Rattus norvegicus: one gene and its partners. The protein of the gene in region 5 purifies or fractionates together with the protein of the main gene of each other region. This does not show direct contact. Links are inferred from orthologs where the notes say so. Each region holds a gene or a part of one and is shown on either strand. Other genes may lie near its edges. The genes, in order: Ubc, Sumo1, Septin9, Hsp90ab1, Hif1a, Stub1 and Lamp2.

What was found.
Region 1: the proteins of Hif1a (region 5) and Ubc purify together in Homo sapiens (affinity purification with western blotting; 11 studies listed by BioGRID). This does not show direct contact. The link is inferred for Rattus norvegicus from reciprocal best matches to the Homo sapiens genes HIF1A and UBC.
Region 2: the proteins of Hif1a (region 5) and Sumo1 purify together in Homo sapiens (co-immunoprecipitation; 3 studies listed by BioGRID and IntAct, with this or other methods). This does not show direct contact. The link is inferred for Rattus norvegicus from reciprocal best matches to the Homo sapiens genes HIF1A and SUMO1.
Region 3: the proteins of Hif1a (region 5) and Septin9 purify together in Homo sapiens (affinity purification with western blotting; 4 studies listed by BioGRID and IntAct, with this or other methods). This does not show direct contact. The link is inferred for Rattus norvegicus from reciprocal best matches to the Homo sapiens genes HIF1A and SEPTIN9.
Region 4: the proteins of Hif1a (region 5) and Hsp90ab1 purify together in Homo sapiens (affinity purification with western blotting; 3 studies listed by BioGRID). This does not show direct contact. The link is inferred for Rattus norvegicus from reciprocal best matches to the Homo sapiens genes HIF1A and HSP90AB1.
Region 6: the proteins of Hif1a (region 5) and Stub1 purify together in Homo sapiens (affinity purification with western blotting; 3 studies listed by BioGRID, with this or other methods). This does not show direct contact. The link is inferred for Rattus norvegicus from reciprocal best matches to the Homo sapiens genes HIF1A and STUB1.
Region 7: the proteins of Hif1a (region 5) and Lamp2 purify together in Homo sapiens (affinity purification with western blotting; 3 studies listed by BioGRID). This does not show direct contact. The link is inferred for Rattus norvegicus from reciprocal best matches to the Homo sapiens genes HIF1A and LAMP2.

Annotation. Positions count from the first base shown.
Region 1 is NC_086030.1:36,899,012-36,903,299, reverse strand, and holds the start of Ubc (polyubiquitin-C), read right to left. Parts: upstream 2,801-4,288; 5' UTR 2,734-2,800; exon of another isoform or gene 2,171-2,733; intron 1,001-2,170; 5' UTR 998-1,000; coding exon 1-997.
Region 2 is NC_086027.1:68,599,788-68,604,380, reverse strand, and holds the start of Sumo1 (small ubiquitin-related modifier 1), read left to right. Parts: upstream 1-1,577; 5' UTR 1,578-1,618; coding exon 1,619-1,630; intron 1,631-4,593. UniProt on the Homo sapiens protein: Ubiquitin-like protein that can be covalently attached to proteins as a monomer or a lysine-linked polymer.
Region 3 is NC_086028.1:102,974,582-102,979,201, forward strand, and holds the start of Septin9 (septin-9), read left to right. Parts: upstream 1-1,714; 5' UTR 1,715-1,972; coding exon 1,973-2,027; intron 2,028-4,620.
Region 4 is NC_086027.1:22,933,172-22,936,561, reverse strand, and holds the end of Hsp90ab1 (heat shock protein HSP 90-beta), read right to left. Parts: coding exon 3,258-3,390; intron 2,976-3,257; coding exon 2,810-2,975; intron 2,671-2,809; coding exon 2,480-2,670; intron 2,386-2,479; coding exon 2,238-2,385; intron 2,135-2,237; coding exon 1,866-2,134; intron 1,441-1,865; coding exon 1,107-1,440; coding exon of another isoform or gene 995-1,106; coding exon 885-994; 3' UTR 767-884; downstream 1-766. Other genes in the region: Slc35b2 (adenosine 3'-phospho 5'-phosphosulfate transporter 1 precursor), read left to right, coding at 1-79. UniProt on the Homo sapiens protein: Molecular chaperone that promotes the maturation, structural maintenance and proper regulation of specific target proteins involved for instance in cell cycle control and signal transduction. Undergoes a functional cycle linked to its ATPase activity.
Region 5 is NC_086024.1:98,387,150-98,391,166, forward strand, and holds part of Hif1a (hypoxia-inducible factor 1-alpha), read left to right. Parts: exon of another isoform or gene 1-785; coding exon 786-898; exon of another isoform or gene 899-2,102; coding exon 2,103-2,305; exon of another isoform or gene 2,306-4,017.
Region 6 is NC_086028.1:15,354,642-15,359,186, reverse strand, and holds Stub1 (E3 ubiquitin-protein ligase CHIP), read left to right. Parts: upstream 1-1,627; 5' UTR 1,628-1,730; coding exon 1,731-1,892; intron 1,893-2,313; coding exon 2,314-2,512; intron 2,513-2,595; coding exon 2,596-2,761; intron 2,762-2,794; exon of another isoform or gene 2,795-2,926; coding exon 2,927-3,014; exon of another isoform or gene 3,015-3,197; coding exon 3,198-3,254; exon of another isoform or gene 3,255-3,340; coding exon 3,341-3,457; exon of another isoform or gene 3,458-3,535; coding exon 3,536-3,661; 3' UTR 3,662-3,909; downstream 3,910-4,545. Other genes in the region: Jmjd8 (jmjC domain-containing protein 8), read right to left, coding at 3,954-4,034, 4,113-4,247, 4,327-4,394, 4,473-4,545. UniProt on the Homo sapiens protein: E3 ubiquitin-protein ligase which targets misfolded chaperone substrates towards proteasomal degradation.
Region 7 is NC_086039.1:122,043,348-122,046,886, reverse strand, and holds the end of Lamp2 (lysosome-associated membrane glycoprotein 2 precursor), read left to right. Parts: intron 1-2,214; coding exon 2,215-2,354; 3' UTR 2,355-2,757; downstream 2,758-3,539. UniProt on the Homo sapiens protein: Lysosomal membrane glycoprotein which plays an important role in lysosome biogenesis, lysosomal pH regulation and autophagy.

The DNA of each region.
Region 1 (4,288 bases), on a different chromosome or scaffold from region 5:
TTGCCTTGACATTTTCAATGGTGTCACTGGGCTCGACCTCCAGGGTGATGGTCTTGCCTGTCAGGGTCTTCACAAAGATCTGCATGCCCCCTCTGAGGCGAAGGACCAGGTGCAAGGTGGACTCCTTCTGGATGTTGTAGTCTGACAGGGTGCGGCCATCTTCCAGCTGCTTGCCTGCAAAGATCAGCCTCTGCTGGTCAGGGGGGATGCCCTCCTTGTCCTGGATCTTTGCCTTGACATTTTCAATGGTGTCACTGGGCTCGACCTCCAGGGTGATGGTCTTGCCTGTCAGGGTCTTCACAAAGATCTGCATGCCCCCTCTGAGGCGAAGGACCAGGTGCAGGGTGGACTCCTTCTGGATGTTGTAATCTGACAGGGTGCGGCCATCTTCCAGCTGCTTGCCTGCAAAGATCAGCCTCTGCTGGTCAGGGGGGATGCCCTCCTTGTCCTGGATCTTTGCCTTGACATTTTCAATGGTGTCACTGGGCTCGACCTCCAGGGTGATGGTCTTGCCTGTCAGGGTCTTCACAAAGATCTGCATGCCCCCTCTGAGGCGAAGGACCAGGTGCAGGGTGGACTCCTTCTGGATGTTGTAGTCTGACAGGGTGCGGCCATCTTCCAGCTGCTTGCCTGCAAAGATCAGCCTCTGCTGGTCAGGGGGGATGCCCTCCTTGTCCTGGATCTTTGCCTTGACATTTTCAATGGTGTCACTGGGCTCGACCTCCAGGGTGATGGTCTTGCCTGTCAGGGTCTTCACAAAGATCTGCATGCCCCCTCTGAGGCGAAGGACCAGGTGCAAGGTGGACTCCTTCTGGATGTTGTAGTCTGACAGGGTGCGGCCATCTTCCAGCTGCTTGCCTGCAAAGATCAGCCTCTGCTGGTCAGGGGGGATGCCCTCCTTGTCCTGGATCTTTGCCTTGACATTTTCAATGGTGTCACTGGGCTCGACCTCCAGGGTGATGGTCTTACCAGTTAAGGTTTTCACAAAGATCTGCATTGTCTATGGAAAAAAAAACAAAAAACAAAAAACCAAAAAACAGGTCAGGAATGACACAAATTCTTTAGAGTGCCACCAACCGTTGGATCTGTGAGGTGGCTAGTAGTTTAGTCTAAATAGCTACACAGACTGTTTTGAATTTTACCCCCTAAAACCAACAAGAAAATAAAAGTCTTGATGGAACAAAGTTATGAATATTAGGCATTGTCTATTACCAAGTTGGCAGGGTGGAGCGTTCAGTACGGAACTGCTGAAAGTCAGTCCCTGACTATTTGCAGTTTGGAGAAAAGCCTGACCCACATTTCACCTTGGGGGAGGGGGGTTTAGGAGGACCCACTCCAAAGAAGTCAGAAACTCAAGAGCTTAGAAGGCAATAGTTGGAAATCCCGGATTCAGGTCCCGACTGGTAGATAGAGCCAGTTACTACTACAAAACTGAACTATGTTCATATCTTTCCTCCCAGCACTGGGGACACTGAGGTGGGCAGATTTCGTGAATTGGGAGGTCAGCCTGAGACAGTGAGATCCTGCCTCAACTCTCCTTCCCCCAAGCTTTTGTCTGAACAATTAAACAGTAGTTTACTCTTACTCTTATCCTCTTAACCTCTTACTTTCACCCCATCTGTCCCTTCTCTCCCCATTCTCCTCCCTGCTCTCTCTCCACATGTTCCGACCAGCTTTACTCCCTCCTCAACTCCCCTTCCCATGCCCTGAATAAACTCTATTAAAAAAAAAAGTAGTCTGGGGTAAGTGGCACTGGCCTTGGACCTCATCACATGGGTGGTAGAGGCAGAGATTTTTTTAAAGTTTAAAACCCTTGTCAGGCTGGTAAGATGACTCAGTGATTAATAGCACTGACTGCTCTTCCAGAGGTCCCGAGTTCAATTCCCGGCAACCATATGGTGGCTAACAACCATTTGTAATGAGATCTGATCACACCTCTTCTGGTGTGTCTGAAGAAATAAATCTTTTTTTTTTTTGGTTCTTTTTTTCCGGAGCTGGGGACCGAACCCAGGGCCTTGCGCTTCCTAGGCAAGCGCTCTACCACTGAGCTAAATCCCCAACCCCTGAAGAAATAAATCTTAAAAAAAAAAACACCCTTGTCTAATAAATAGTTTCCGCAGCCATATCCGTGTAGCGAGACAAGGAAAGACTCAATGTAAGTCAGGCTCACGTTCCCCCTCTGAATTTCCGGTTCCTGTTTACTCTGGAGAGGCTACCCGAGGCCGAGACCCAAACCCGGTCCTACAACTGAGGGAAAGCTAAAGCCATCGTCACTATACACTGTGAGACCACACAAACCGCGACGTCACAGGGGCGATAGGCTAGGCTGGACCGCCACCCTCCCCCTCCCTTCCCAATCGCACTCCTGTATTTAGCAACCGACGAATTCCGGATAACCGACATCTCCCTCCCGTCTAATACCCACAGTTCTCACATCAGAGGCTCCTACAGCGCGCCAACCGAATTCAGTTCCCAACCCAAGCCTCTGACGTTCCCGGCTTAACCGGCGGCAAGCGGCCTCGCGGGCCTGCTTCCCCCAACCTGGTCCAGCGCGTCAGGACCGCGCGTCTTCCCCCTCAGGCTTCCATTTGGCCGCCATCTTGCCGCCCGGTCCTCGGCCTCAGGACAGCAGCCGTCCTCGCGGGCCACGGAAACCAAACGTCCGGGCCGCGGGCTGTCTCTCGCCCCCTCCCGCCTCCCCGCCCCCGCCGGGTGTGGCGGCTTTCTCCTCACCAGCGGTGTTGGCTGCAGTCCTCACAAAAGAGTAGAGACGGAACTGGCGGTCTCCACGGAACTAGCTGCGGGACGCGAGGCGTCTCTTTATATAGTCATCGGGAGCCCCGCCCACCCCTGGATTCCTCCGCGGAAATGCGGTTGGGGACTACTTTTTAATGCCCGGTCCAATCTCTGCAATGGAAGCGACAGGCTAAAACCATTAAGATCGCTTCATGGGGTTGTTCCACTGCGAAGGCCAGAGAGTGAGGGGCTTTGTGTGGAGGGGCAGGACTGCGACCTTGCGCGACCCCGCGGAGGGATCAGCGCCTGTGACGTGATCGGCGCTAAAACCCGGCAGGGATCACTGCAGCCGGAGCGGACCTCGGCGCAGGCGCACTGTGGCTAAGCGAGCCGGAGACCCACCAACTACCCCCCACCCCCTCCGTCAAGGGTCCCAGTCGCCTCTTTCTGTTAGGGGGACCTAGGGCTTTGGCTCTTGTTACACTGATATTCCATTGGTGGCCTCGGCTCCTAAGTTCCCTCACCTCGAGTCGGTCGTCACTGTGCCCAGCCCTCTTTGTTTTGGCACGGTGACAGGATGGATGACTGTGCAAATCTCATAACAAGGGAAATGACAACGGTTTTTTTTATTTTTTATAAAAAAAATGGGGGGGGGGGGGATCTCTCCCCAGTTTGGGAAAACGAATCTGAATTCGTCAAGAAAAGCAGTCAGTCCTCACAGTTCTTGAAAACTGTTGGCATTAGATCTGAAGCCCAGTGGGCACTAGATCTTTCCAGATTCTTCCTAAGTCTGTTTATGTCTGGTGTCCTTGGATTCGAGAAGGTTCTGTTTTCTGTTCGATTGTCACTAAGGAAAGGTCAAAATATCAAAATGTTGTTCATATTCTGAGACTGAACCCATCGAAATCCTATTTTTTTAATTTTTGTTGTTCAGACAGGGTTTCTCTGTATAGCCCTGGCTGTCCTGGAATAGGCTTCGTAGACCGGGCTGGTCTCAAGTTTACAGAGATCCTTCTGCCTCTGCCTCTAAGTGCTGGTCTACAGGGCTACACAGTGAAACCTCGTCTTGAAAAAAACCAAAACCAAACAAAAACCCACACACACACACAAAAAGTACACGTTTAGTACAATGTTCAGATTACAGCAAACATATACCCCACTTGTAAAATTCAGCCTATTCAGGTTTTTGAAATGTAAGGCCTGAGACCTTAGAAGGTAAGAATTGAATCCCTAGGGTAGAGAGATGGCTCAGCAGTAAGAGCAGGTCTTCTTCCAGAGTTCAATACTGAGCAACCCTGTCAGGCAGCTAGCTTACAAAGGCCTTTGACTCCAAAGCTTCTCAAGGCTTCAAGGAGGTCCAATGTCCCTAGGGGCACTCACATACATGTAGCATGCACACACACAGACACACACACTATTAAATGCCTTTAATCTCAACCTTTTTCTTTTTTGAGATTTTTTTTTGAGACAGGGTCTCCATATGTAGTAGCCCTGGCTACCTTGGGACTCATGACATAGATCAATCAGGCTGGACTCTTAACTCGTAATGATC
Region 2 (4,593 bases), on a different chromosome or scaffold from region 5:
ACTCTGCATTGGCTCCTGCCTCCAGGTGCCAACCGTTTGAGTTCCTGTCCTGTAAGCCAAATAATCTCTTTGCTCCTCAATATGCTTTTTGGTCATAGTGTTTCTTTGCAGCAATAGAAACCCTAAGATAGTCTTACAGAAACATCGTTGAAACATTTTAATTTTGTATGTGCAATGAAATAGGAATTCAAATTCCTTCTTTTGATGTGAATGTTCATATTTTCATTAGTAATTGTTAATAATTTTTTAATTTTTATGAGTGTTTCTGTCCGAATGTGTGTCTATGAACCACATTTAGGCCTGGTGCAGTGCTGAAAAACATATCAGATTCTCTGGGACTAGAGTTATAGGCATTTTTGAATGCATATACGGGTGCTGGGAATCAAACCTGAGTCCTCTGGAAGAGTAGCCAATGCTCTTTGATTGCTGGGCCACTTATAATCGGCTCATTACTAATTACAGAAAAGATTATTTTATTAATGTCTTGTACTGTGAAGGTTTTTGACTTACTTTAGTTTTCATTTTTCCCCCCTTTACTTAGTATAACCTTAATCTTCCCTGAATGTTTGTGCAAGAGGGTCACTGTATTCAAAGGAAGATGTTTAGGTCTATGATGTAAGGCAACTAGTTTATGAGCTGGAGGGAGCTCTTGCAACTTCAACTTTCAATAGCATTTTGGTCATCTATAGCCACCAAGACTTTGTTCTAGAGCTGGAGATGTGGTGGCCCAGGTCTTTAATCTCAGCACTGGGGAGGCAGAGGCAAGAGGAGGCCAGTCTGGTTGACTTAGCAATGTTCTATAATAGCCAGAGCTACTTAGTGAGACCCTGCCTCAAAACACAAAACAAAACCAAAGATGTGACCGGAAGGGTTGTTTCTTCATGCCCCACCCCTAGACTCCCACAGGGTTCTTCCATGTAGCCTTGGCTGTCCCGGAACTCACTTTGTAGACCAAGATGGCCTCAAACTCACAGAGATCTGCTTGCCTCTATCACTCGGAGTACGCCACCATAACTCAGCTCGTTGTGGTTAACTTCATTCACTCTGACATGCTAGTGGCTTCCAAATCGCTTTCACTTTCTCTCTTGTAGAAAATGAAAACTTGTTACTATTGTATTTCTAGTAATCAAAGTCATGAATGTGGCAGCAGCAAGCAAGAGGGGGCCATAAAGATATTATACAGGGAATTCACTATATTCAGGAAGAGTTGGTTCCGGCCTCAGAAGCGTACAAGATGTCCAACAGGGAGGAGCCTAAGCGGTCAGTTTGACCCCAAACACACACAGCCTGCAGGCAAAGCGCTGGTCTCCCTAAGGCCTGAGGCAGCGGGCCGGTTTTCCCGGCCCCGCTGAAGACCTAGCGGTTCTCTTGCTCCAGGAAAGTAGCTTAACCTTGACGATTTCATCTCCCGCATTCCCTAAGGCGTTTTCCCGCTTCCCTTTCCCGTCTTCCCAAACTCTCCTCTGCGCGCTGCGGAAGTGACGCAAGACGTAGCGGAAGTCCCTGCAGCCGCGGTGTTGTGCTGTGGAGAAGAGACGGATTTGTAAACCTCAGAGTGCGGTTCTGCCTGCCGGAGGCCGCTGTGGTGCGGAGACCCCCGGGTGAATCCACCGACACCATGTCTGACCAGGTACCGGGCCACGGCCTTGGGGCTCAGGGCCGTCGGCTGCTGGCTGAGCCCCTGGAATGGGGCGCGGGGGGAGGGGGTGATGTTGGGGGAGGGGGCTGCCGGTGGGGAGGGGGCCGCGAGGGACGCCGAGCGCCTGGCAGAGTCGGGCCGAGCCGCCTGGGATCGAGGGTCTCCGGGTTTTACGCACCCTCCGCGGCCCTTTCGGAGGCCTCTACCCCCACGCCATCCAGCGCCGGGTCTCTTTCGACTGCTCCCAGGTTTCTCTCGGGCTCGCTGGGGGCCCAGGCCCGCTCCCTTGTCCGTGAGAGCAACCTGGGGGAAAACGACCGTTTCCCTTTCAGAGGACCGATGGCAGAAACAAGGCCCTAGGCCCAGTTATGTAACGGGAGAGAATCCCTGCCTGGGAGGCTAGGTGGCCCTGAAAAGCAGCTCGATTCTACTTTGGGTTCTTGGTCCCGGAGAGTGGGGGGCGGGCAGGGATCCTTGTTTGGGGTGACTGGGAACCCAGGAGACGCTGCTTTTCAGTTGTGTTTGCCTGGAGGGTCAGTCCGTCTTTGCCCACTTCAGAGTCATTTTTCCATCCGGGGGTGCGGAGCGGTCGACTCTTTCTCTGTACTTTCCATTTCTTACTCGGGATTGGTCCATCAACTCTCCAGTTGTAGGAGCGCTCAGAATAACCGAGAAACAACAAACTGCGTAGAGTGCCACCACCAACATGCCATCCATACGGTTTTTGTCTGGCTTTCCTTTTGTTTGGTCAGATGACTTAATTTTCAGAGTATTTTTTTTTTTTTTAATTTTTACTTCTTTAGTTACAATTCAGCAAACTTTTTTCATTCTACTTTACATTGTAGTTGAGCTTTTTTAAAATTTTTTTTGTTGGTTTTTTTTTTTTTTTTTTTTTTGAGACGTTGGTTTTCTGTGTAGCCTGGTTGTCCTGGAACTCCCTCTGTAGACGAGGCTGGCCTCCAGTTTATAGAGATCCGCCTGTCTGTTTCCTGAGGATGAAAGGCTTGCAACCACCCCAGACTGGCCATAGTGGTTCTATTTTTATAGCCTATCTACACTGTAAATTAGTTGTGGGATGGATTTACTTATTAATAATCTGGATTATTAATCTTTTGGGCTAGAAATGACTTTATGAAGCCCATAATTTGTTTATGACAGTTGTTTACTTAGTTACCAGAGAGGAGAGATCAGCTGTGTAAACGCTTATGCTTCATCAGACTTCTATTTTTAAAGCATGTTAGCCAGATGAGAGGGCAACATACAGAAAGAGTTTTAAGTTTTAGGATTAGTTTTGCTCTAGTTTGAACTTACATTATGTGAGGATATGAAGAAAGAAAAGAGGACCCTAGGACACAAGGTTTCAGGGAGTCTGCAAAGTCACTCTATGCTTGCTTAGGACTCTCTCACCTCACTTGGGGTCTTTGGGTGCTGGACCTAGGGCCTCCCACATGTGCTTGCCAGGCAGGCACTAAACCCTCATTTCTCCTTTTACTTCATTTCATTAAGTTGTCTAGGTTGGACTGTAACACACTTGTCTTTGAACTTGGACTCCCTCAGCCTTGCAGAGTAGCTGGGATTACAGAGTTATGCTGCCACACTTGGTGTGTGTGTGTGTGTGTGTGTGTGTGTGTGTGTTTCTCATTCTATCATGGATGTTCAATGAAAATTTTAGAAACATGACAAAAAAGTAGAACAAATCTTTTTTTTTGAGGCAGGGTCTTAACTATGTAGCTTTTCCTGGCCTGGAACTCAGTTTCTCCTGTGTCTGTTTCCTGAGTGCTGGGATTAAAGATGTCTACCACCACAGTTGGCAAAACAAGTCTTTTTTTTTAAATTGAGCTACACATTAAAGCAATTTGCATAGGAAATAGTGCTGCTACTCTTAAAATTTTTGTCTTTAAAAAAAGTAATAAAAATGTATCTAACATTTTAGGGGTTTATTTAGTTCAAGTCAAGGGTTTCTCTGTGTAGCCTTAGTTGTCCTGGAACTTGCTATGTAGATCAGATTGGCCTCAGATTTTCCTTGCCTTGCCTCTGCCTCCCAGAGTGTATACCACCACGACAGCTGGGTTGATAGGTTTTTAAATCATTGAGAGTGTGATAATGGATTTGGGAGCTGTTGCTTTAGGCTGATGGATAACATTAATCTTAGTTCCCAGAACAAGTTCAGTATTGAGTGTTAAAGATTTGGAGAAAACGGTTAAGTGAATCCTTGCCTGTAAGAGGTTTATAAGTGAGAGTAGGAATCCCCAAGTACTGTGTGTAATAGCAACAGCCTGAGACTGAGCTGTCTTCAGAAGGTGGCCTTAGAGGGTACTTTTTCAAGTTGGGGGGTTCGATAATGTGCTTGACTTGAATACAAGATGCCCTCCAGTACCCATGCACATTTTATTTTCTGAGGCAACTCTTAGAAGCTTGTATCTTGTGCTTAAAATAGTCACATTGAGTAATAGTTTCAGCTTTTCTCTTTGTTTTGAGATGCTCTCACTGTGTATCTAGGCTGGCAGTGATCCTTCTGTTTTTACTTTCCTGAGTCCTGGGATTACAGGTGTATGTGTATGCCACTGTGTCTTGCCATAATTTCAGTTTAAAATGAGTGGATCTTTATATCTAAAATAGATCACAATCTAATGCCTAAACCTTGAGAATTCACTGAATTATGCAGTTTTTTTAAAAAGAAGGTACTATAGGTCCCATCATTGGTACATGATTTCCCAAAGAATGAGGATCATTCTATAACCATTAATAGAAATTTGTTTAGCCTAATTTCACATTTCTTTAAAACCAGAAGCATATCAAAATGATAAGATTAATTTGAACCATTATTTCCCGTTCCTTATAGTTTAGTGAAAACTGTTTTCCTTTTTATACTAAATCATCAAAAGCAACTTGTACCTTTAGTATAATAAAAACAAAACAAAATCCACCCAGTTGGGAATACCACTTCTAGAACC
Region 3 (4,620 bases), on a different chromosome or scaffold from region 5:
AGGGGCAGGGGTGGAGTGGAAGCTCTCCTTGAAGCCTGCGCCTTGGCTGGGCTCCTCATTGGAACACTGGGGTGCGCTTGGCTACTCTGCCTGGATACAGTCTGAGCAACAATGAGCTGTGTCTCTGCTAATCTGCACTTGCCCTGGGGAGAACAGTCGCTCGGGTGTGTCTCTGTGTTCCAGGTGCCTTTTATAAAACACACCAGTGAGCAACGCCCACTCAGGTTGGATGCTGTCCCAGGGACCCGGCATCTTCCCAGGGCTTTGTGGTAAGGGCCTCAGCTTACATTGCACCCTGAAATCCCCTGACGTGGGACAGCAGGTGACCTGGTGATGGTCAGACTGCCAGGCAGGCTGAGACCCTGACAGAAGCCACGTGGGGTACCCACTGCTCCTGGAAGTAAGGCTTCTAGAGAGATGGGATGCGGGTGCATCCGATCTAGAATGGTGGTGGTTTTACAGTTCCTATGTCCAGAGGCTCGCTTGGTTGGAAATAGTTTTTAAACCATCTGAGGCATGAGAGGAGGGGCACATTTTCTAATAGGAAGGACTCTATTCCAGAGGCTTAAAAAAAAAAAAAAGTCTCACCAAAACCTAGCCCGGGCTCCTCCTCTCCTTCTCTGCAGCCTCACCGACCTCTGCAGGTCTCAGCACAGCTTCCTCCCTCAATTACCACACTGAGAATGCTGGAGTAGGGAGAGAGCAGACCCAGACCCAGGACAGCTCAGGGACGCACCACTGAGGACCAAAGGATGAGTTACCCACTCTGCAGGACCCTGTCCCTGGCTATGAATCCATGCAGCCCTGACTGAACAGAGACCCTGGGTCTAAGGTAGTGCCCAGCGGGCAGGAGTCTTGTTGGCTCATCCAGGAAGTGGTGAACCTCTCCCCAAGACACCCTTCCCCCGTCACCCCCTCCCCTCAGCACGTCCCGCATCCCTGGGGACCCTTCCTGGTAACTAGTGTTTTTTGTTTCTAGCCAGTGTTTTTATCTGCTTGCCCAGTAGATGTCTGAAGTGTGAAGGCTACTTGGGCAGAGAGAGGCCAGGCTGTGGGTACCCACTGATGTGGAAAGGACCCAGGAGCAGCCTTCTTCCTTCCTTCTGATGTTAGGGACTGTGGTTTCTCTCTTCTGGAGAGAAGGTCGTGGTCCACTCTCTGTACTCAGGAAGCCCATACAGTGGAAGGGGGGAGGGGCGTTGCAATGATTCTTCTGAAGGGCCGCCTCTCCCTGCCCTATCCCTTCCGTAGCACCTACCCAGAGGGTGCCGCAGCGACCCCCGGAGTGCAAGGGTAGCAGTCCTCAACGTATGAATGCTAAGGAACTCCTGGGACCCTCGTCTTTGTAGTCAACCGTCTAGGGTCCTCCGGACTAGCCTAGCGCTTCAGCTTAACCCTTGCAGGCCCTGTTCTCTTACGCGAAGGAGGCGCTCACGAACTTTGGCTGCGTAAATAAAACCTCCGGCAGCAAGAGCACTGCGCCCAGGGAAGGGGAGGAATCTTGTCCCCCTCAGCGCCCGCCCGCTGCTGTGGCCCGGCCTCCACATCCTCTACATCCGCCCACATCTGGCCACGGAGGGGCGTGAGGGGGAGGGGCCGAGGCCGTGTCTGTCGCGGTCCCCTGGGCACCCGCCAGGAAGGGAGAAGGGGGGCCAGCCTAGGTCGTGTGCCTGGGACTCTGCAGTCCCTGTAGAAGCAGCTCTGGTTCCAACCCCTCCAGGCCCAGTTTTGACAGGCGGGCGCAACAGCCAGTGCCGAGTCGCGGAGGCCGGCTGGGGTGCGGGAACCTGATCCAGCCGGGAGGCGGGGGCGGGGCGGGGGCCCGGGTGCTTGGGGAGGGGCCGGCGCCCGCCTTCCTCCCCCATTCATTCAGCCGACCGTGGGGGCCGAGGGGCTCGTGCGGCCAGCTCGGCACCGGGAGCGGGAGCGCGCAGGGCCCGGTCTCCGCGGGACTCCCTGCGCACCAGCCACCATGTCCGACCCCGCGGTCAACGCACAGCTGGACGGGATCATTTCAGACTTTGAAGGTGGGTGCCCGACCCAGGGGTTGCTTGGCGAGCTGGGCAGGAGCCTCCAGGCGGGCCTGAGACGGGACGGGGTGAACACAGGAGAGGCAAGACCCCGGATTGCTCACCCTAGGGCTCTGCGTCCCAGACGTTGCCTACTTGCAGAGCCCCATTAAGGGGTCCTGTAGATGATAGACCATATAGTTAGGGACCACGCACCCCCCGGGGATCCCAGGTTCACGCTGCCTGTGGGGCGTTCATCTTTTTATTTTTGTTTGTGTTTGCCCTGCGACTGTCGCTCCTCGAGGGCGGGCTTGACTTCTTGGGAGCAACCCGGGGGAGCACAGTTCCACCCTGGAAACCAGTGGGTTTTCTTCTTCTGGTGCTCGTCCTCAGCTCTCACCAGCGTGGGAGTTAGTTCCCCTCTTCAGATCCAGTGGGAGGCCGAATCCTCAGGGTGGACCTCCTCCCCTCCCCCACGCCATCTCCGGGGTTGGGGCTGAGCCCAGTCCCGGGGCTGGCAAGGGCTGCCAAGTTGATCGGCCGGCAGGCCCCATGCATCCGAGGGGATCCCAGCCCGGCGAGTCTCAGGGTCCAGGGTGGGATGTCCAACACCCCGATCCAGGCCTGGGACATCGTTATCTATCTGAGAGAGAAGAGCCTTTTGGGAGAGAGGGGGCCTGTGTGCTCACGCAAGGACAGTACTTTCGCCTCTTGTCCTGAGTTTACAAAGTGCAGAGATACTTGGGGGCCGTTTCCTCCAAGGGTGGGCCTGCCATCTCCTCCCTGGGCTTGCATGCGCGGACTTTCCAGAGGCCTCGTGACTGCCACTGCCGGTGCCGTGGCCCCTAGTCCTGCGTCCTCGTCCGGAGTAAATAAAGCCAGTGGAAAGGGAGGCTTACACAATGGTGTCCCGCGCGCGTCTGGGGCTGGGTTTCCGAGGGGCGGGCCTGACTCTGCCGGGCCCAGAGCCCCCGCCCCTTTGAGGGGCTCTCAGGCAGCCTTAGGCAGAGCCCTCTGGTGGGCTGTGAGGGAGGGAAGAAGGGCCCCACAGAGTTAAAGACGGCCAGGTTTCAAGCCAGCCCTAGCCCTACAAGTGACCAGTTGGGGGTGCTCCAGGCCCCATGACTGGAAACAGGGATTTTGTCCTGAGCCCACCTGAGATCAACTTTATCTTTGAGTTAGGGGACTAGCTGTGTGTCAGGGTGTGTGTGCACAGCGACGGGGGTGGGAGTGAGTTGGGGGGAAATGGGTGCTGATGCCGATCCGTTGTGTATTGACAGATATAGGCGGTGAGTAGCCTGGAATATCATACCAACTTGGTCACCTCAGTGGTGGGAGCAATTTTTAGATTCTAGCACTTTCTGTGCCGATACAAAGCAGAGAGTTGCTGCTTGGGAGTCCTTGTGCTGCCATCCACCAGGACTTTTTGGAGTCCATGTTTATTCTGGGGTCCCCCAGACCTGTTTTGTGCTTTTGTGCCTTCTGAATGCCCCGGTGACTGTCCCAGCTCCTTGGGTTGCCCCTCTCTGCACCTCTTCTTTGCCCCGGGGGCCTTTCATTCTCCTGGAAGTGTAATCTGAAAGTCAGCCAGTCAGTTCCCTTCTCTGCAAGGTCTGACCCATATGGAGGTGGAGGGCCCGGGGAGTGGGGGTGAGGGTGTGGGGGGGTGGGCAGCACACTGCCTTTTCCAGGTCTCTGTGTTTACTCTCTGCTCCGGACCTAGGGGCATTCAGGTGTCTGCTTTCATCCCTTGAGGAGTTGGGGATGGGGTTTCTGGGGAATGCTGCCCAGGTCTTGTCGGGGAGGGAGAAGTTTAGGGGTTGTGAGGGTCTAGCCAGCTGGTTCCTTGCATTGTGGAGGCCAGCTGCCCCTGCCTCCTTAGTTTCTCTGTGCAACTCCTTACTCACTGTGTCGTGCCCTCACTGGGCTGCCTCCCAAGCCAGCTTCTTGACCCTCAAATTTAGTCCAAGACAATGGCCTCATTGAGAGCATCCTGGTATAGAGGTTGGCAGTTTTAGGGATGCTGGGCCTCCTGAGCATGCTGCCCTCCTGTGCCAGTCTTCCTGCTGTGCTCTGAAAAGTTCAGTTGGGGAATGGGGTCAGGTCTTTGAGTGCCCAGAGATTACAGCCTGGGCTGTCACTAATGGAAGTGTGTGTGTGTGTGTGTGTGTGTGTGTGTGTGTGTGTGTGTGCGCGCACGCTCATGGTGGCACTTATGCAAGGGAAGCTATATACATTGGATGAACAACCTGAAAAGTGACATCTAAGTGTCCTAGGAATACGGAGTTGAGTTGGTGCGCAGAGAGGGTGCACACGTCGGGGTTGGACTGCTGAATGGAGAAAGGGATGTGGAGAGACTATGACCCAGCCCATGGGAGAGAAGCTTGCAGTCTGAATCCAGGCGGGAAAAGTCTCCAGAGACTAGCAGGGAGAAGTTGGGAATGGGGAAACAAGACCTCGAGGCAAAGGAGAAAACTGGTTGTGACAGGGAAAGAGGAGAGTCTTCTGACCAGACTGCCACGGGCAGTGAGCAGCGAAGATCTCAGGGTGAGACTGCTAGGAAGTTGAGCCATGAAGGGGCCAGTTTATAGTGAGTGCTCCTGGGGTGGGG
Region 4 (3,390 bases), on a different chromosome or scaffold from region 5:
CCTCAGAGTCTATGCCCGGGGCCGGAAGCAGCGGGGAAAGAAGGCAGTGCCCACTGAGCCTGCAGTGCAGAAGGTGTGAATGAGGACCTCCATTGCTCTCATCTGCTGAGGCACTGGCTCAAGGGCAAATTATTTCTCAGTGTCTCAGCACACAGCAGAGGGTTGGAGTCCTGGAGGCAGCCTCTTTGCCTTGCCTTAAGAGCCCCACTTCACCAAGTGACAGCTGTGGGTAATGCAGCGTTCCTCCCCGCTACCTGAGATCTTGACTTAGCTGGTGGCCAGGCAAACCAGCAGCAGGCTCATCCCCTTCTAACACCCACCCCTTGAGGCTGCCAGGCACCAGCTGGGAAGTAAATTGTTTACAGGCCATGCAGTTACCCCTAGGGGCTAGTGAGAATGGTGCTGTGCCAGAAGGGACAAAGGACTCCCCCCAGCCCAGTTGGGGCCCCCAGTGTTCCTTGAGCAAGTTTTGGTTACTTGGAAATGTCACCTTTTGCTCTATTTGATTAAACTGCAGCAGTGATTTTTGGACCTGTGTTTTGGTTCTGAGTTCAGAAGCACAAGTGCCTCTCATCATCTTCCAACTCAGGGAGCCCAGAGTCCTGAGTGTTACTTTACAAGGAGAGCAGGACTGTATAAAACTGCATCATCTTTATTTTGCATACTTTTAATTTCAGAACAAAATAAAACAAACAAAAAAACACAATACACAACACCCAACCCTGCTATTCTGTGGGAGGGGATCTTCCTGCCTTAAGGCACAAGGACAGGATAGAAGAGATTCTTGTAGACATGAGCAGAGAGCCAGGTGGGTCAGGGCCAGTCAAGGCTGTTGGGGGAGCCACAGGGATACTATACAGAGGGCGGGGGCTTCCCAGGAGCCTTTAATCCACTTCTTCCATGCGAGAGGCATCCTCATCACCCTCCAGTGGGGGGATCTCATCGGGAACAGCAGCACTGGGCTCTTCTGCAGTGACCTCATCTTCATCAATGCCTGAGAAAGAAAAACATGAGATCTAAGCCACAAAGCATTAAGTCTGTCCAAGGATCCAGCCAGTTCAACAATTTGTCACAAGGTGCTTGCTCACAAGGCTGACTTGACTCACCCAGGCCTAGTTTAATCATGCGGTAGATGCGGTTGGAGTGGGTTTGGGGGTCCTCAAGTGAGAAGCCAGAGGAGAGCAGAGCAGTCTCAAACAGCAGCACCACCAGGTCTTTGACAGCTTTGTCGTTTTTGTCTGCCTCAGCCTTCTGCCGCAGAGTCTCCACAATGGGGTGGTCAGGGTTGATCTCTAGGTGTTTCTTGGCCATCATGTAGCCCATTGTCGAGTTGTCCCGCAGTGCCTGGGCCTTCATAATCCGTTCCATGTTGGCTGTCCAGCCGTAGGTGCTGGTCACAATGCAGCAGGGGGAAGACACAAGCCTATTGGAGATAGTCACCTGTGGACAATCAAGGACAATGACAATTGTTGGCCATCATGGAACTGCTATGGAAAAAGTACCTTGGGTTTTTTTGTCAAGAATAGCAGATGACGGGGTTGGGGATTTAGCTCAGTGGTAGAGCGCTTGCCTAGGAAGTGCAAGGCCCTGGGTTCGGTCCTCAGCTCCGAAAAAAAGAACAAAAATAATAAAAAAAAAAGAATAGCAGATGACTAACCCCCTACCCCTACATGCTGTAGAGGCTGAAGGTAGCTTGAGTACTGCAGAGATTCAAGGATAACCTGGGCAACAGTAAGGTCTTTTCTTGCATGCATACATTAGGTGGAATAACTGTTAGGAGTTAAACAGTATTAAATATCCCTGAATACTGCTAGTGCCTGGTCTATGCTGTAATAGCAGCAGACTAAATCCAAGGGAAGACTCACTTTTTCAACCTTCTTGTCCAAGATCTCCTTCATGAGCTTGCAGAGATTCTCAAACTTTGCCTTGCTCTCCTCCATTTTTTTCTTCTCTTCCTCATCCTCTGGTAGCTCCAGGCCCTCCTTGGTCACGGAGACCAGGCTCTTGCCATCGAACTCCTTGAGCTGCTGTACGCAGTACTCATCAATGGGCTCAGTCATGTATACCACCTCAAAGCCCCGTTTCCGCACACGCTCCACGAAGGCAGAGTTGGCCACCTGCTCTTTGCTCTCACCTATGGGATTAAACAGGACTCGATGGCCAAAAGGCCTTCACGCCTCCACTTCCCCTCCCCAATTCCACAAGACAGCTTTGATCAGAACCAAGCTCCAACATACCAGTGATATAGTAGATGGACTTCTGTGTCTCCTTCATGCGAGACACATACTCTGACAGGGAAGTCATCTCATCTCCAGACTGAGAGGTATGGTAGCGAAGGAGCTCAGAGAGGCGGCGACGGTTAGTGGAATCCTCATGGATTCCAAGCTTTAAAGGGTAGGGCAACAGAAAGTTCAACTATGAGCTGGGAAAAACACCAGCCTAAATACAAAGTAATGGAGAGAGCACTTGTTCATCTTACCTTTAAATTCTTAGAGAATGCCTCATAAAATTTCTTGTAGTTCTCTTTGTCTTCAGCCAACTCAGAGAAGAGCTCAAGGCACTTCTTCACAATGTTTTTGCGGATGACTTTCAGGATCTTGCTCTGCTGGAGCATTTCTCGGGAGATGTTCAGAGGCAGGTCCTCGGAATCAACCACACCACGGATGAAGTCTACATTGAACCAGACAGAGCACAGGGAACAGCTGGATCAGAGTTAGTCCAAGGACTCTGGATCAGTATCTCAGCTGTATTCTGAAGGTCTAATATAGGTTTGCCTGTATTGCACATCTTAAACCCAGCAAATACTCACTGAGGTACTCAGGTATCAGCTCATCACAGCTGTCCATGATGAACACACGACGGACATACAATTTGATGTTGTTCTTCTTCTTCTTGTTCTCAAAGAGGTCAAAGGGAGCTCGCCGGGGAATGAAGAGCAATGCCCTGAATTCCAACTGCCCTTCTACAGAGAAGTGCTGAAATAAACCCAGTAGTACATTTTAGGACAGAACTGCTTCAAGCCCCAGTATTAAACTTTTGGCACCGAACACTCACTGTCAGTGCCACATTCCTAACAGCCAACACCAAGTAAGCCCAGAATGCTAGTAGCAAGGAGCACCCGTGCCAATCAGCTCCCAGTATACTTAGTCACGTGGTTCTGTGGCTCTCAGCTTGGTACCAACCAGTTAAGCAAGTTGTCCCTTACCACCTCCAGCATTCTATGTACCCCTCCTTACACAACATGTAAGGCTCCTCACCTTGACTGCCAAGTGGTCTTCCCAGTCATTGGTGAGGCTCTTGTAGAATTCACCATATTCCTCTTGAGTGATGTCATCAGGATTTCTGGTCCAGATGGGCTTCGTCTTATTCAGCTCTTCCTGGTCAATGTAC
Region 5 (4,017 bases):
ACCTAGACCCACATGTATGTACTAAGGAAGTACTTGTCCATTAAACTACATTCCCAGCCCCTAATTTTGTAATCTTAAATCGTAAACAAGGTCTCATGTAGCTCAAGTTGGCCTAGAATTTTCCATCCTCCTCCTTCAGCCTCCCTAGTGCTGAGAGTGCTGACATGGACCATTATGGCTGATTTCTGTAACTTCTGATAGAATTTTGCCTGGTTTTCATACACACATATGCTATTCACTTACAAAAGGTAAGCTGGCATTTTTAAAGTTCTATAAACACATTGCTGCTTATTCAAAATTGAGTTATCACAATTGGTAAAAGACATTGAAGTATTTATTCAGGTTCTTTCTAGGGGGACATCCTTATATACCGACAGCACACTTAACAGGGTAAATTTATACCATTTTTTAATTTTCATTACTTGGACCGAACTCACCAGCACAGATGAGTAAATTAATCATGTAAAGTGTGGGCTCCTCCCACAGTTCAGGGAATCACTGCAGTCTTTAACTGCTCTCACTGGATGGAGCTGTCAGACCCACCATGTGTGGGAGTGGGTGAAGAGGGAGCAAATCCTTGTGTTAATGCTGAGGTCCTCACTTTGCTGCTCTCATTTTAACAGATTTCTATGTTTAGCTAGGACTTAAAACTTTGTTTCTTGGGGTTGGGGATTTAGCTCAGTGGTAGAGCACTTGCCTAGCAAGCGCAAGGCCCTGGGTTTGTTCCCCAGCTCCAAAAAAAAAAAAAAGAAAAAGAAAAAAACTTTGTTTCTTGCTTTCATTAGGCCCAGTGAGAAAGGGGAAAGAACAAAACACGCAGCGAAGCTTTTTTCTCAGAATGAAATGTACCCTAACAAGCCGGGGGAGGACGATGAACATCAAGTCAGCAACGTGGAAGGTAAGTAAACTGAGTATGGCTTGATTTATAGATAAATAAACCTATACACTTACATGCTAGTATCAAGAGCTTTCACCAGGAGTGCTGAAAGTTAGCTGGCCCTCGCACTTGGGAAGCAGAAAAACAGCTGCTACAAATTTGAAGGCAGCCTTATCTACACAGCAAGTTCCAGGCCAGCCAGGGGAACACAGCGAGCCCCACTCAGAAAGCAAAACAAATAAACATAACCCCTCCAAATGAGTTGCTTAGAGTTATGAGGGGAATGGAGAAAGGGCTTAGTAATTAAGAGCACTTGTTTGCCAAGCACCTGGCCTTGGTCCCAAGAACCTGTGTCAGCTCATAGTCATCTCTAACTCCAATTCCAGAACATGTAGTATCCTCTTCTGACCTCTTCAGGCACCAGGTACACACACAGCGTGCACACATACATACAGATAGAAGTTGTGAAGGAAAAGGTATAATTGTTCCCTTTTGCATGTTTGCATTTATATCTAGTATATGTAATCTCCATTCAAAATAGTATAATAATTTGCTGATTTGAGATATAAACATAGATTATTGGAAATACGGTATTTCTATACCAAGCTAACTTATTAGTTGGCTTTACCAACTAGTATTTAAATTCTAATATTCAGTTTCATTTTCTTGTTCAGTGTTGAACCATAGTTACCAGAGCAAAATCAACTGAAATGACCAGATTAGTGAAGAAGGAAAGATAGCCTAGACTTAATACAAAGATACCTCTTTTTAAAAACAACATGTGTGTGTATGTATGTTTGTCTGTGTGTATTTTAGTGTTTTAATTGGATATATGTAAGTGTATGTGTTTGCAGAGGCCAAAAGAGGGCATTAGATCCATATTCTGGATTATAAGTGATCCCTAGTTTCTATTTTATGTGCATGGATGTTTTGCCTCCATGTATATATCAGTGCATGCATGCCTGGTGCCTTAAGAGATGAGAAGAAGGTGTCGGATCCTCTGGAAATAGGATGCTTGTAAGCTGCCATGCGAGTGCTAGGAATCAAATCTTGGTCCTCTGGAAAAACAGTCAGCATTCAAACCTCTGGCTCATCTAGCATCCTACCTCACAGTGCCTTCTTAAGAATACCTCATTATCTCTTAATGTTTAACTGCTATGCCATCTCTGCAGCTTTCCTCTCCTCTTCATTTTAAAAAGGTAACTGCTTATTTTCTTACTCACAGGTGCTGCACTGCACAGGCCACATTCATGTGTATGATACCAGCAGTAACCAGCCGCAGTGTGGCTACAAGAAACCGCCTATGACGTGCTTGGTGCTGATTTGTGAACCCATTCCTCATCCATCAAACATTGAAATTCCTTTAGACAGCAAGACATTTCTCAGTCGACACAGCCTCGATATGAAATTTTCTTACTGTGATGAAAGGTAAATTAACTATTTTATATTTTTAAAATTTAGATTTAATTTTTTTTACCTCACTGTAGTAAAAACTTAATTGATGTGTTCATAAAGCTTAATATTGAAGATGCATACTAGAATCCAAAAATGTAAGATTAGCTTTTTTACTATAAATACTATACTTAGCTATTATACAAAATCCATTAAGATGAATTCTTGACCACATCTGGTGGTATACTTCTGTAATGTCGCTATGGGGAGACTGAGACAGGAGGAAGGTAATTTCCAAGTCAGCTGTCTCAAAAGAGCATTTTAAAGGCTAGGGATGTAAGTCAGGTGGACCACTTGTCCAATGTGCAAAAGGCACTGACTTCTTGCCTTGGTACTGTGCAAACAGTGAACACAAAAACCAGGAAGTTCTTTTGTTTTAGGGAATTTTGCTTAAATTGAGAAAGTAACTTTTAAAGATACACAGTTTCTGTAGAGTAGGCAACAACAGTTGGCCTTTAGCCTACATGCTCTCCTTGAGCACCTTCCATTCCACCCGTTAGTTACCATTTCCCAAGTCTGTTACTACTTATGTAATTGCCAGCTTAATGTTTCCGTCCACATCCTTTTCTAAGTAATGGAATGAATACTTCTGCTACTAAACTACTCTCCTGCTCCCAGACAGCGTAAGTTGCTGCTCCTCTGGTGATTCCTAATGTTGTTGACATAGCATTGTTGAAACCTGACTAAGTGCAGTTTGTGGTAAATATTATAAATGCACTGTTTGACTGTCTCTCCCATTGTATCTACCTTGTGCTCCTTCTTTATTTCATTACTTTTGGCCTGAATTGTTACCATAAACTCTTTTTTTTTTTTTTTTTTTTTGGTTCTTTTTTTCGGAGCTGGGGACCGAACCCAGGGCCTTGCGCTTCCTAGGTAAGCGCTCTACCACTGAGCTAAATCCCCAGCCCCAACCATAAACTCTTAAGCTGCATTTCTGCCAACAGATTTGTGCCTTTTTACCTGTATATCCTTTGTATCTAAAGGCTTCCCAAGGTGAGGATCAGATCATGCCATTCTCTTATTAGAAATGCATCCGTTGCTTCTTGTAGTATTATAGGTGGAAGGAGATTTTTTATTTATCAAAAGATAGTATATTCTGGGTGTGGTATTGTATGTCTGTGATCTTAACACTTGGGAAGATAAGACAAGAAAGCTGACCTGGACTATATATGAACGCCTGCCTGTCATGTGCAGTTAAATCTTAATGTATTAAAATGTCGAGGAAAGGTATTTACTGTCTAGTCTCTTCTCAGTTCACCAAATTAATCAGGAGGTAGGAGAATCACCCATCTGGATATGGTCCCAAACACTCCTAACCAAGAGTTCCATGTTCGTTTTGAATGTCTTGTGCCTTTGCATACACTCACTCTTAAGAGGATGCCTAAGAGCATCTTCTTAGGCAGTATTCCTTGTACATGCTAATGTCGTAGTGTGTATTCTGCTGCTGTCTTGTTGGTTCTTTTTTGCTGCAAGCTGTATAGCCTGTTAGTTATAGACAGAGATTGTGTAGCCAACTGAAGTTCTGACCCTGCTCCCTAGAGAACAGTGAACACATACATCAGTCCTCTCACAGATCACTTCTCTGTTTGTTTAGTTGGTTAGCTGCTTAGGGTGTTTTGTTTTGTTTTGTTTTGTTTTGTTTTTTGAGAAAGAGTACACAGCCCTGGATATTCTGAAACTTTCCCTGT
Region 6 (4,545 bases), on a different chromosome or scaffold from region 5:
CTCCCAGGCCTTTCCAGGGGGAGGGGTGCTGCTAGGCCAGGGCTGGGTGGAGGACCTTGAATGTGGCCCTAGAGGAGCTCCCTTCCCTCCCCACCGACCCCTCCCAGGACTTGCAGTCTGAGCCTTTTTGGAGAATGAATAAATATTTTACACAGCACCAGGTAGCTGTCCTGGGGCTCTGCAGGCTTGTCTGCCCCCTCACCCAGGCTGTATGAGACGCCCCCCCTCCAGGGTCTGTGCTTCCTCTCTCTCCCCTGAAGCTCTGCACCTGCATGAGGTGGTGGCTTCACTCCTGGCCAGGGACGGAATCCACAGGAGGTGGGGCCCCTGGGAAGAGACTGTGGACTTCCGGGTCAGTCCAAGTTCAGCAGTCGTTTATTGTGCTCCAAGAGCTTCCAATCCCGGTTCTTGCAGCCTCCCTTCCAAAGGCAAGCCCGAGACAGAGCCAGGTTCACTTGGCCTGGGTCCTGTAATTCTTGGCAGGTCTATAGTCCTTATGGGAGAACCAGTTGGGGTGAAGTTCAGGCAGCAGGTCTGGGCATACATCTGCCCATAGTCCAAGTTTGCAGTGCTCTCTTCACAAGATGAAGCGTCTACAGACAGCTCTAAGGCACTAGAGATCTACAAGAGTTCTGGGGTCGAGTTACTAACCATCGGAACCATGATGGGGTCCTGGGTGACCCCTCAGGCCCCTGCTCAGAAATGCAGTGAGCTCTTGCACCTGGGCTAGAAACAGCAAGTAGTACTTGAGTGTATGCTGCAGCGTTAGCAAGCCAGGAACTGTAGCCACTGCAAAGAGTGACAAGGAGGTTCTGGGGACATTTTTTTTTTGAGTTCCTAGAGCCCCCACCCAACTTGTGCAAAGATGCTCCCTACTCACTCGAGGCAGTGGCAGAAACCACGCAGCGAAGTTTGACTGCGGCGCACAGATCGGCAGAAAGCCGAGTTTTGCTTCTCCAAGTCCCGGGTGGGGGATGTTAGCGGCCAACAGCTGATGCAGCAGCGGCTAAAAATGCCTCATCTACAGACCTGGGGTCAAAGGGTCTTGGTGCAGGCTCTCTCCACGGAAACCTGCTGGCACCGCCCTTGAAGAAGCTCCGCCCCATGACCGCAGAAGGGGAGCGTCCAGCCGCGGACCCGCAGCTACCTCTATAGCAACCGCAGCAGGTCCTTTCGAGTCAACGCGTCACGTGCTTGTTTCTCAGCCAGTAATGGCCGCAGGCAGCTTCTCCCGATTCCCGAGGAAGCCTCTCGAGGGTGGTCTGACCTGCGGGCCTCTCTCCTTCCCTCAATTCCGCCGTCCTACCAGCGGTCTAGACGTTCCCAGGCTGCCGCATGAGCCCGCGTGCGCCCCGGTGGCGCGCTAGGACCTGGGCCTAGTGACCGGCCCTCGGAGCGCCACTTCTCCAGCACGGACCGCTGCCACGTTCGCGTGGCGTGGGCCGGAGGGTGGGGCTTGACTGCCAATGGGCGGAGCCTTGGTCTGAATATTGAGGGTAGGTCCTAGTTACTGTAGGGCGGGGCCGGTAGAGAGCGCAGCGGTAGCTTCTCCGGGCTAAGCGAACCCGCTCAATCCGCGAGGCTCCGCCTTTGCTCACGTGTCCCCATGCCAGCCCCGCCCCACACCGGAAGTTCCGGTGGCGGATCGCCGACCGGGCGGAGCTGATAGCTGCGCGGGCTGCGAGATCTAGGTGGCCGGGCGCGGAGCCCAAGCCGTGCCGCGCGGCGCCATGAAGGGCAAGGAGGAAAAGGAGGGCGGCGCGCGGCTGGGCACTGGTGGCGGCGGCAGCCCTGATAAGAGCCCGAGTGCGCAAGAGCTCAAGGAGCAGGGAAACCGGCTCTTCGTGGGCCGCAAGTACCCGGAGGCGGCGGCCTGCTACGGCCGCGCCATCGTGAGTGCGGGGGGCGGGGGCGGGGGCGGGGCCCGATGTGCCTCCCAGTTCTGTGATTCCCGGACGATTTCTGGCAGCCTAGACCCGGATTGCTGTTCCCGAATCCAGGGCAGATTGACTGGGGACTGGCGGGCGGGATGCTTGATTGAGGCAAGCTAAGGATGACACCAGAAATTCTTGCCCCTTGAGGCTCCCAAGCCTAAAGCTGGTGGAGGGGTTCTGGGATTTTTCTCAAAAACAGTTGGAGGCAAGAGAGCATGGCTAGAATCCAGAGCTCTGATAACTCGGAAATCTCCAGTTCCTCTCTTCCACCCATGGGCCCCCAATGCTGGAGAATTGTCCGGATCATTGGCTTTCAGCTTGCTATTAGAGAGGGGATCAGATGAGCCCACATTCTTTGTCACCTGATCTTGGTTCCCAGACCCGGAACCCACTTGTGGCAGTGTACTACACCAACCGGGCCCTGTGCTATCTGAAGATGCAGCAGCCTGAACAGGCACTTGCTGACTGCCGGAGAGCCCTGGAGCTGGATGGGCAGTCTGTGAAGGCGCACTTCTTCCTGGGGCAGTGCCAGCTAGAGATGGAGAGTTATGATGAGGCCATTGCCAATCTGCAGCGAGGTGGGCTGACAAGATGCCAGATTGTGGGCACCTTTGGGGCCAGGATTGTTGACAAGTGTAACCTAAAGTGTCCACTCCCCCAGCCTATAGTTTGGCCAAGGAGCAGCGACTCAACTTTGGGGATGATATTCCTAGTGCCCTTCGCATTGCTAAGAAGAAGCGCTGGAACAGTATCGAGGAACGGCGCATCCACCAGGAGAGTGAGCTGCACTCCTATCTCACCAGGCTCATTGCTGCTGAGCGAGAGAGGTGGGTCCCGCCCCCAACAGTTAACACCGAGTCAACAGTGCAAGTGTTTATTAAAGGACAGCAGCCGGTACATGGGAAGCCCGGGAGGAAAGAGGCCTGAGATGGGAAGGGATCTGTCATTTCCCTGTTGGGGCCATCACCAGCTGGCTTTTTCTTGACCCTCAGGGAACTGGAAGAGTGTCAGCGGAACCACGAGGGTGATGAGGATGATGGCCACATCAGGGCCCAGCAGGCCTGCATTGAGGCCAAGCACGTGAGGGTGCCCCTAGTCCACATGTGGGTCGTTGTGTGTGTGTTTTTGTGTGTGGCATGAGAAGTGCCCCAGCCTATGGTGGCTCTGTTGGCCCATGCATGACATGAGTGCCCCGGTGGACAGAGTGTGTGTGTCTGTGTGGAGGAGACAGGAGTTGCCCACACATGGCGCTCAACTCTGCAGGATAAATACATGGCGGACATGAATGAGCTCTTCTCTCAGGTGGATGAGAAAAGAAAGGTAAGGACGGAGCCTTGAAGCTCATGGGCAGGCTCTGGTATGGTGACTTCCTTTCCAGTTGCAGACATTTCCCTCTTGTGCTGCAGAAGCGAGATATCCCTGACTACTTGTGTGGCAAGATCAGCTTTGAGCTGATGCGGGAACCCTGCATTACACCCAGTGGCATCACCTATGACCGCAAGGACATTGAGGAGCACCTGCAGGTAAGGAGGGCCTGTGGTCTCGGGACTGGGATCAGGGGACACTCAGGCCATTGAATACTCTTGACTCTGTCGTTGCAGCGCGTGGGCCATTTCGATCCTGTGACCCGGAGCCCTCTGACCCAGGAACAGCTCATCCCCAACTTAGCCATGAAGGAAGTCATTGATGCTTTCATCTCTGAGAATGGCTGGGTAGAGGACTACTGATACCCCATGTCCTGCCTGGCACCCTGGCCCAGGAGGGTCTGGAGGCAGAAGCTCCAGTCCCTGTATATAGTTTGTGTCCCTGGGCCTGCCCCCATCGGTCCTGATGATGGGTTCTGAACTGCTCCCCTTCTCAGCATATCCCTTGCTGGGCCATGAGCCTCCCTTGTCTCCCTTCTGGGCTGGAGAGCTGGTGAGGGTGGGTTGCTGCTGCTGCTGCCACTGTCCTGTAATAAAGTCTGTGAGCACTACATTGGCATGTGCTGGTGCAGTGGGCTTGCCAGTCGCTTGTTGGCTAGCCAAGGAAAGTGGATATGAAGACACTGGTGTCCAGATTGAGTGTGGCATGCCACCACCGATCAGGAAAGTACAGCGCCTGGGAGAAGGGGCACGGAAAAATAGTCTGATTCCCTAGTTTTTGGGTTAGCCCAACCCCCACCTACCAGCTACTGACTTCACCAGCCTGGATGGTACATTCTAGAGGCCGAGCTGATGGGGCTAGAGATGGGTATATTTCCAGGAGCCAGGCCAACGTGGTCTTGTTAGGGTGGAACTCAGGTGTCTTCTCAGGAGGGTAGAGGAACCAGCGCTGGAGGCAGGAATGTTAAGGTCACTCTCATGTGCTATGGACTACAAACACCAAATTCATGCCCCACCCTTGCACTGACCTTCCGACCATAGATAACCTCTGAGAAACCAGGCCCATGCCAGTGGAAGGGTACCCCAGATCCAGCTCCTGTGGGGTCAGTTGTGAATAGCTGATGAACAAAATATATACGGGCTTCCCCCAAATCTGTTTGAAAGGAGCACCTACCTGCAATTCCAAAGCTATAAGCAGGGGTGGTTCCCAGTAGACGAAATGGAGGTGGACGGTAATGTTGGAAGAG
Region 7 (3,539 bases), on a different chromosome or scaffold from region 5:
CGTCATGAGCCCAGTTCAGGACTATGTTATTGATCTCGTGGATGCTAGCAATAGAGGCGGCCCCTAGCTTACTGCCTAGTCTTCTATCTGCGATTCTGGAATGTGCCCTCATTGAATTCCGGTTACTGTTGGTTTTTCCAGTGCGATAAGGTAGAACCACCGAACAGTGTACTTTTGTGAGCTGGTCTTAAATACACTTTTTCTGGCTTCCATCCATTGTTCTATGTCACCTTCCTTGGCATTGCTCCTGGAGTTTTTATGTTTTCTTACTGTCCACGTTTTTGTCTGCACTGTTTTTGGTTTGCTTATATTTGTTATTACTGTTTTGTTTTGTTTTGTTTTTCTCTACAGGGTTTCTCTGGATAGCCCTGACTGTCCTGGAACTCACTCTGTAGATCAGGCTGGCCTCAAACTCAGAGATCCACCTGCCTCTACCTCCTGAGTGTTAGGATTAAAAGTGTGCACACCCCCCCCCCACTGGCTCTCTGCACTGTTTCTTACACCTGCAGTGCCCTCCCATTATCTACATAGTCAATTACAATTAATGGTTAGTTCTTTGTCTTAAAAACTCACATCAAATGCTGCCTTTCCAAAGTGTCTTACTTAACTAAACTGAGTTGACGAGGTCCCTGAAATATTTCCATGATACTTTGGGTATTGCTTGTCCCACCATAGCACATCTTGAATTTCTAACTACTGATTTCTGTGTTTGACTCTCACACTAGTGATCTAAGTGATCATACTGTGTTTTATTATAGCATTCCATACATACATAGATTGCATTATATGCTGTTCTCATTTCTTCTTCCCCAGTACCTTCCTGTCCTTCCTGTTCCTCTCTTGCTGAGTCTTCTTGACAAATAGCCTCTCCTGCTTCCATGGCATCGATAAGCCTTTACCTATAGACCACACATCTTACCATTTCCTTCCTCTTTAGAAGCTTTTTCACCCCTCATGTGTTCTCCTTTCCTTTCTATTTACACACACATTTAAATCTGCATATCAAAAGTAATATTTTACTGAGTCTGGCTTATTTTGGTTAAGATAATGATCTTCAGTTGCAGTTTTTCCAGCAAATGACACAATTGCACTTTTTTTAATGGCTGCATAAAATTCATATATATATGTATATGTATATATATATATATATTCATCCAGTTTCCTTATCTATTTACTTGTTGGACATCTGAGTTAGGTCTTAATACATCTTGTGACTAGTGCTGTAGTAAATATGAATGTACAAGAATCTCTGACTTTGATTTCCTTTATTGGATACCTACTCAGGAGTGGGATAGCTACCTTATATGGTAATCCTGTTATTAAGGTTTTTGTTTTGTTTTTATATACTAAATTATATTCTCTGGATACATAAGCAGTAGTGAAATTCCTTGATCACTATGTATATGTGGCATTTCTCTTTTTAATTTTTAAATTGTTTCTTTGAAAATTTGATATACTTATATATTGTCTTCTCATCAGAACTCTCCTGCAACTTTGTATTTCCCTCCTATTTCTATCAACGTGCTCCCTTCCTGACTTGTCCCTTTTCCAGATCCCTCCCTCCCTCCCTTCTCTCTCTCTCCCCCCCCCTCTCTCTCTCTCTCTTTCTTTCTTTCGAAACTTGATACTGATTTCCATGTTTGCTAAACCAAACATTCCTACCAGTAGTGATAAATACTACTTTTTTCCTCGACTACATACACGTGATGAAGCCAGCAGTTAATGCCAACAGGGCCAGATTATCTTTCCTTATTATTAAGTGAGCTCAATAATAGGATTATGCATTGAGCTCTGTATCTGCTTTATACAGCTGTTTATTTGCTGAGTTAGTGCTCTCTAACATTCAGGATCCAATGTGATAGTTGGCTCTTAAAGTTCTAGGCTGATCAAGGGCAAACAAATTTCTAGAAGAAGCCTGGGAGTGTGTGATCACTATATGTATTTCCCCCCAATGACTGCTTTTTTATGAAGGGGAACTGCATGAAATTACTGGGTTTTTTGTTGTTTTGGGGGTGTTTTTGTTGTTGATTTAAAAAAAAACTTTTGAGGGTCAACTCATTAGATATCATATGTCACTACTGATAATGAATGCCAATGACTTGTTATTTTGATGTAAAATTCTGTATATGAGGGAAGGGCTGTCAGTTTAACTTAAAATTGAGACATATGAAATGCCATTGTGTCTGTTCTCAATTGTCCTTTCTCCACATCCAGCTCAAGACTGCAGTGCAGATGAAGACAACTTCCTTGTGCCCATAGCGGTGGGAGCAGCCCTGGGAGGAGTACTTATTCTAGTGTTGCTGGCTTATTTTATTGGTCTCAAGCGCCATCATACTGGATATGAGCAATTTTAGCACCTACAATCTGATTGAATATATTACAAAATACATACAAATAACAAAGTTGTCTTACCTGTCAGTTTATGAAACACTTTGCTACTTAAGACAGACTCCTTGGAACTTTTATTTGGAAATCAGTCCCCACAATTTGAGATAAGGCTTTTTTTGAAAAAAAAAACAAAAAACAACAAAAAAACAAAAAACAAAAAAATCATTCTCTGATCTGCTTAAAATGCAGACTGGCTTTAAAAAAAGGAGAAAATGAATACACGTGTGTGATGTTTTAAGGTCTGTCTTAAGAAGCTTTGGCCAAATTGGGATCCTAACCTAAATGCCTTAAACTTATTAACATGACCGTTATAAGAAAAGATATATGGAGTTGTATCTTACTGGAATTAATAAACACTGCTTCACCACCGGTGTTCTGTTTCAATTTGTAACAGCTGTCCTAATTTAAACTCACCACTACTGTGCCTTTGCATATACTTAAGATACCTATCAGATATGCCAGACTTGCTTTTTAGGGGGGTGAAATAGACCCCTTAGGGCCATCCACATTTTTTAAAAAATAAGATCTTAAGAGGAACCAGAGGGCTTTTATTTGTTTGTTTGTTTGTTTTTGAAACAGGGATTCTCTGTGTGGCCCTTGTTGTCCTGGAAGTCACTCTGTAGACCAGGTTGGCCTTGGACTTGGCAGAGATCCACCTGCCTCTGTCTCCCAAATGCTAAAATTAAGGCATGTACTGTCACTGCCCAGCTAAGTATTACATTTTTGAAAAGATTATGACTTGATGCCTTTTGAGTTCAAGTTAAATATGAAATTGATTCTCAAACTTGTGATTTTTCATAGGTTAAAAACAGGCTCAGGAGGCTATAACAGAGCTTGGACTGACTTCTTAATTAGAAGGGGTTTTTTTAGGGAGGGGGTGGTGGTGGTTGGTGATGTGAAAGAGTCTTTCTGTAGCTCTGGCTGATCTGGTAGTTACTATGTAGTCCAGGCTGCCTTCAAGCTCAGATCCAACTGCTTTGGCTGGCCAAATGCTAAGGTCACAGGCATTTGACCATTCCCATCCTGGGGTTTTAAGAAAAATGTTTCTTTTTCAGCAATATAGACTGAAAGGATTCAAACAGTTAACCACTTGCCTCGCTCTCTTTCTCTTTGGATGCCTGGTTAGCACTGAAGGATAGCGGATTCTATGA